Saccharomyces cerevisiae S288C: one gene and its partner. The protein of the gene in region 1 purifies or fractionates together with the protein of each later gene. This does not show direct contact. Each region holds a gene or a part of one and is shown in the gene's direction. Other genes may lie near its edges.

Region 1 (3,511 bases):
AATCCTCGTCACCACATCGTCGTGGTCATCTTTATCACTACTAAACCACCTACGACCGCACGACCATGCAGCGGACCCTGTTTGAGAGTTGATAATCTTGTAGCCTTGCAACGACAGTGTCTTTGTGAGTGCTGGAAACATATTGTGCATTTATGTGCTCCTTTTTAAAGTGTACTCCCTTTTTTCCTCCTGTTCTTTTTTTACAAATTTCGCCTTTCTTATATATCCTAAATATACTTAAAATCTAGTCTCTTATGAAATCTGTAAGAAACAGCATAATGTCGCTCCTTCTCTTCTATTTCCTATATATATCTACATATCACCAAAGAACGTGAGAATGGGCAGGAAACATCTTGGTGATTCGTTCATTAACCGGCGGAACAATCTCTTGTATCATTGTAGTCTTTTTCACTACACACAGTTGTAACTGTGGGAAACAGTTTGCGCGTAAAAGTCCCAAGTTAATCAGTGTCACAAGTACGTTTTCGACGTTCTTGGGGGAGTGAATGCCATTATAAATGGTAATTTCCTGGGCGCCGGGATCCTCGAATGTCGGACCAATAGATAGCTGTAGTACCCGTTCTATCAAGGAGTACGGTAATTTGTTCTGACCCCATTCGGTGGTCCAGGACTTTATTACCGTTTTAATCAGATTTCTGTACGTTACCATGGGCAGTTTCTCTAGGAGCACGATCAGTAACTGTCTTGCACACAAATGACGCTCGTTTTGTCTCAGCCAGAGACTCACGCCTTGAATATTCCCATAACGTACGTGTTTGTAGAGAACACTCCAATTATCAATTGTTTCTTGGGAAAGGAACGGTCGCAACGGTCCCCATTTGACCATCTTTCCCAGTATCAGCCCTGTAGGGATCATGTAATTTAGTATTCTGGTGCCATTCCTAGTGATCGCTTGGTTCGTTAACGGCAAGTTCAATAAGGACTGGAAAGCTTCATTGAATTGAACGAAGGCATTATGTACTTGAGAGTTCAACAAGTAGTACCTTCCTAATAGATATCTGTATTCTATTTGCTGGTCGAGCTGGTATTCGTTGAAATGTGCAAGCATGCTTTTTGGCTGAAAGTTCTTAAAGATATTGGAACATAATTGCGGTGACTCGATCCTGAAGTAGATGTTATTTAGTTTATTGACCAGGTAGAGCAGTATTCGTTGTTTTCCAGGTATATTTGTAGAAGATGCGTTACCTCGTGGAGGTTTGATGCTGTTAAATAGTCTTGATAGGATGGACGATATATGTGATAGAAATTGGTGACTTCTCGTATGCAGTTGCAAGTGGAAAGAGTCTAGTTTCCCAGCGAGATTGATGATAAATTCTGTTTCTCTAGTTGCTACTGGTATCAACATTTCTATGTGAGGAGCATTGTCGTTGATGAGACAGTTGATTAAACATTGATAAAACTCAAAAATTAGATCCGAACTGGACCAGGCTGACCATGGGTCGACATCTCGGGCATAATTTAAAAAGGATGTACACATGATTTTGAATCTCGTATCATTGGGCATAGCCGGGTGTTGTTCTACAAACGTTTCTAGCTGTTTATCATCAAATCCGGTCAATTGCTTCTGTAAGATAGCAATTTCCCTACCATTTTGGGACAAGTTTAGCGTTAGGTGGGAAAAATTTCCATGTGCTAATTCATCTAGCAACTGGTTGGCCATGTCCATTGCTATCTATCCTTTTATCCCTGCCCTGTTTCTTACTTTGAATGCCATTGATGTGAAGATGGTTTTTTTTTTTTGGAAAAGTATAGAAGAGAAATTTGACGTATAAACTTAACTATTAAAGGGAGAGAAAGTCAACGACATAAAAAGCAAACACAATAGTCTACAAATAATGTCTATGGAGCCTCCTGTGGGGCTTACGGCTATGCCCGTCACCAAGCTAGCCATGATCACGACGCTTGTGGTTCCCTTAGTTGCCTCGATTGCAAGTTACAAACATATATTTCTATTGCAATATGATCCTTTTCTGCAGACCTACCATCAATACTACCGTCTGCTCATATTCCAGTTCTGCGCCATCAATGAATCCGATACAGTAATACTGGCGTTGATATGGTATCTGTTTAGGCATTTAGAACGGCTACTAGGATCCCACAAGTACTTGACCTTGATTGTTTTGTCATGGGCCTACACCACCTTAGGAATTTGGGGATTGAATCTGATCTGGAACGCATTTATTGGACAGTACAAGTGGCTTCAATGGAACAATTTTAGTACAGGTTCACTGCCCATTGTTTTAAGCTTAGTACATTTTTACAAAGAATACACCCCTCAGATTTACGAATGGAATATAAGATTACTAGGACCTCGAGGAGGAGCATCAAGTCACAATGATAACAAGCGAGAAGACAAGAGCGCCGTAGAGTGGAAAATCAACGATCAGTTTCTTTTAAATGGGTTAATTCTCCTGCTTATATTAAATCAGGGGTTTGCAGGAATACTATGCGGATTCATAAGCTGGATGTGTGGTATTTTCATCGATAAGGGCCTGTTACCGGGATTAGACCATTGGAGAATACCGTTTGTATCCTATTTCATCTCTCAAGGCCCACCCACGAGGGCTAACGTTGCTATAGCGGCCAATGCGGCCACGAATACAGCAGCAGCAAGAGCCACTGTAGAAGCAGCTACTGCTGCTACAGGAAATGGAAATACAGGCAACTCTGGGCCTACAAGCCTACCGCTTCGTGGTTCAAGCACCACCCCTACAAATACCTCTAGCGCTGGTGATGACGAGCCTGGTGCCGATGAACCTGCAAGACCACTGGGAGTCCAATTTTTGGATACCTTTAGGAGATGATTTATATCAGCATATACCTACATAAACAAATAAACATAGCAACGGTTTAGCAACATCGTTTACAGCCATGTGAGGCAGTTACTTCTATCATATGTCTGGCTTTAGTATTGTTGGGTTGACACTTATACGAAATATCAGAAAGTGAAAAAAAAAAAAGGAAGGATCTAGTGATGAGATAAACGAATTTGTGATGTAAATGCAGAAGTAGGCACAAGTGCTTGGCAGTTTTCAAACGATCATCGTATTTTAAGCTACAATCACCAACGCCAAACATCCACTTGCAGCCACTATGTCACAGCAGGAGAATGGTGATGTGGCCACTGAATTAATCGAAAATAGACTTTCCTTCTCAAGAATCCCTAGAATAAGCCTTCATGTAAGGGATTTGTCAATCGTTGCATCCAAAACAAATACGACGCTAGTTAATACGTTTTCCATGGACCTGCCCAGTGGGTCGGTCATGGCAGTTATGGGTGGTTCGGGGTCAGGGAAGACTACGTTGCTGAATGTTCTGGCATCCAAGATCAGTGGTGGGTTAACTCATAATGGTTCTATACGGTACGTATTGGAAGATACAGGTTCAGAACCCAATGAAACAGAGCCTAAGAGGGCTCACTTGGATGGCCAAGACCATCCCATCCAGAAACACGTAATAATGGCGTACCTACCTCAACAAGATGTACTCT
Region 2 (3,600 bases), on another chromosome or scaffold:
GGTCTTGAAGCGAAACTGTTTAACATTGTAACTTATTAATCTTTTCGTATAAGCTGTTGCCTGATTAGGAAAGCTTGAAACTGAAACACGCGAAAGTGGCTAGGATAAACCAAGCAAGGGTCCATATCATCGCCGTTCTTATGCAGAAACAACTGCAGTGCTTGTAAAGCTATAGGCAATCAAAGCGTATGCGACAGAGAGTAGGAAGGTCCATAGCTAGGGCTAAATTTATAAATACTGCCTTATTAGGAAGAAAGAGACCAGTTATGGAAAGAGTCGTCGATATAGCGCATGTAGATTCAAGTAAAGCAATCCAACCATTGATGAAGGAACTAGAAACCGACACTACAGAAGCACGATACAAAGTACTACAAAGTGTATTAGAGATATACGATGATGAAAAGAATATAGAACCTGCTCTCACGAAAGAGTTTCACAAAATGTACTTGGATGTCGCTTTTGAGATATCGTTACCTCCACAAATGACAGCACTAGATGCTTCACAACCGTGGATGCTATATTGGATTGCTAACTCATTGAAGGTAATGGACAGAGACTGGCTTTCAGATGACACCAAAAGAAAAATTGTAGATAAGCTCTTTACTATTAGTCCTTCAGGAGGACCCTTTGGTGGAGGTCCTGGCCAATTATCTCATTTGGCCAGCACTTATGCTGCAATTAATGCTCTCTCCCTTTGCGATAACATAGATGGATGCTGGGACAGAATTGATCGAAAAGGAATTTACCAATGGCTGATATCGTTGAAAGAGCCTAATGGAGGATTCAAGACCTGTTTAGAAGTCGGAGAAGTGGATACAAGAGGTATATACTGTGCCTTGAGCATAGCAACCTTATTAAATATTCTTACAGAAGAGCTTACAGAAGGTGTGTTAAACTATTTGAAAAATTGTCAAAATTATGAAGGTGGATTCGGCAGTTGTCCTCACGTAGATGAGGCACACGGAGGCTATACTTTCTGTGCTACAGCTAGTCTAGCAATTTTAAGGTCCATGGACCAAATAAATGTTGAAAAGCTTTTAGAATGGTCTAGTGCTCGTCAATTGCAAGAAGAACGAGGATTTTGCGGAAGGAGCAACAAACTTGTTGACGGTTGCTATAGTTTTTGGGTTGGAGGTTCGGCTGCCATTCTTGAAGCTTTTGGATATGGCCAATGCTTCAACAAACATGCTCTTCGGGACTACATATTGTACTGTTGCCAAGAAAAAGAGCAACCTGGTTTGAGAGATAAACCAGGGGCCCACTCAGACTTTTACCATACAAATTATTGCCTATTAGGACTGGCTGTTGCGGAAAGTTCATACAGTTGCACTCCTAATGATTCTCCACATAATATTAAGTGTACTCCAGACCGCCTAATTGGATCATCGAAACTTACTGATGTCAACCCTGTCTATGGTTTACCAATAGAAAATGTAAGAAAAATTATCCACTACTTTAAATCCAATTTATCTTCTCCAAGTTAACCACATACTATTATATATATGTATTCAATCTCCTTAGCGGTCAGTCTCTTTCCAATTTCTTTCTCTTTACGTTATCATTGTCCTTTATTCGACACTTCGGCGACCGCTTTTAAAACGATAATAACAAAGCGAAATCTTATTGTAACACATCCTTGCTTAATTACATACGAAGCAAAAAGTGAGAGTAAGTTCAAAAACAGCGGGCAATCGTACTCCCAAATTTTGTTGTACCTCATCAATCGGCTTGACTGCGATTTAAACATACCCTTTAAACATGGATATATTTAGGCATACTTTTGGAAATAATGATGATTCCTTTATTCGAATCCCAGGTGCTTTTAGAGAAGAACCACCTGCTGATTTGAATGGAAGGACAGAAGATCAAAACAGCAATACAAATGAACCCACACAGAGCCGGGATGGACGCTTAAAATCAATACTCCATTTTTTATTTCAAGCTCCCCTAATAGTTCTTTATTATTTATTGAATTTCATTGTCCGAAGTTCACGTCTTTTAAAACCTCTATTAAGACTTCACGGATTCTACCAGAGGAAGCACAACCGTTTACTAGACCACAGTTCCCAATTACACCGTCTTTTAGAAAATCTAGAAAACGAAGCTCAAGCTGTAACGTGTTCTGAAGGTAACGGGAATAATGATGATGGCAGCAATACTGACAGTACGAGCAACAATGAGAGCAGTGGGGTCCAGTTTAGTTTTGGTTCTTTATACAACCCTGAAAATGGAACATTTTCCAAAAGCATTATGCAAAATAGTTACACTGAATTATTGGATGCTTGTAGCGAACAAGTGAAATTTGGAGTCATTTATTTACATGACCCATTGTTGGATAATCATATGGATTACGTTAATAAAATATTGTGCTCAGAAGCCTTTGTTAACATGATAAGGAAGTACCAGGTATTACTATGGTATGGTGACGTTACTACATCCGAGGGGTTGCAAGTTTCCAATGCATTAAAAATTAGGCAATATCCCCTACTTGGAATAATTTCTTTAAAGGCTGAGAAAAAAATAGAGTTAATAGCAAGAGTTGAAGGTTCTATTTCTAACTACAAAGCCCAAGATTTGGAGGCCATATTCTCCAAGAATTATTCTCGATTAATTCAATTGCGTCAGCAAAGACAAAATATTGAAATGCAGAGATTAATAAGACAACAACAGGATTCAAGATACCAGGATTCCTTAAGACGTGATCAACAAAGAGAATCAGAAAGATTGGAACAGACCCAAAGAGAACAAATGGAAAGAGAGCACCAAAGAATAGAAAACCAATGGCTATTGTGGAGAAAAAGCCAACTAAAACCCGAACCCTCTTCTGATAAAGATGCAAGCAAAGTTGCGATCAGACTAGAAAATGGGCAGAGATTAGTGAGAAAGTTTGACGCATCTCTACCAACGGAGGAGATATATGCCTTCGTAGAATTACAGTTGCATGACATGTTGAACTCAGAAAACGATACTTTACCCGTATACCAACCTGCTAATTATCAGCACCAGTATAGCTTCAAATTGATCACGCCGGTACCAAGAAGAGAGCTTGATTTATCTACCAAAATATCTGACGTTAGCGGCATATATCCATCAGGAAATATTGTAATGGAACGCCTGGACGAATGAAAGGAATTTCAAAAATAGTCATCTCAAAACGTTTATTCTAAAGTTTAGTTAAATTTATATCTACACAACTTTATGCAATTAATCTTTTATATCTACGTTGCCATCCTTTAATCTACACATCCAAAGATAACAAGAGGCGCACATGCCTTTTGACTCAAGTGTCACGTGCATCAGTTTTTCTTCGCTACCTTGTTTTTCTTTCCTGTCTTACTGATGGTACCGTTCTTACTCTTCTTTTTCTTCTTCTTGATCAAATTCTGCATGCCCCCCTTAAATACAGATGAATACTCTTGCCAAAATTGATCTAACTCACTTGCTTTTACCACTGTTGAGCATTTTGTTTTCTTGTCATGCGAGCCATAAGACATTCTGATTAATAGTGGGTATTCTCTGTCAGATCTTGAGCTAACTGAAATTTCAGAAGCCTTTTTAGATACATCATAGTCAGGATGGTTGGTAGAATCAAATTCAAGA

The links.
Region 2: the proteins of DSC2 (region 1) and UBX3 purify together in Saccharomyces cerevisiae (affinity purification with western blotting; 5 studies listed by BioGRID, with this or other methods). This does not show direct contact.

The regions. Positions count from the first base shown.
Region 1 is NC_001147.6:193,146-196,656, reverse strand, and holds DSC2 (Dsc2p), read left to right. Parts: upstream 1-1,856; coding exon 1,857-2,825; downstream 2,826-3,511. Other genes in the region: succinate dehydrogenase assembly factor SDH5, read right to left, coding at 1-150; THP1 (Thp1p), read right to left, coding at 320-1,687; YOL075C (uncharacterized protein), read left to right, coding at 3,115-3,511.
Region 2 is NC_001136.10:292,918-296,517, reverse strand, and holds UBX3 (clathrin-mediated endocytosis regulator UBX3), read left to right. Parts: upstream 1-1,758; coding exon 1,759-3,126; downstream 3,127-3,600. Other genes in the region: RAM1 (protein farnesyltransferase), read left to right, coding at 189-1,484; RNA-binding signal recognition particle subunit SRP14, read right to left, coding at 3,297-3,600.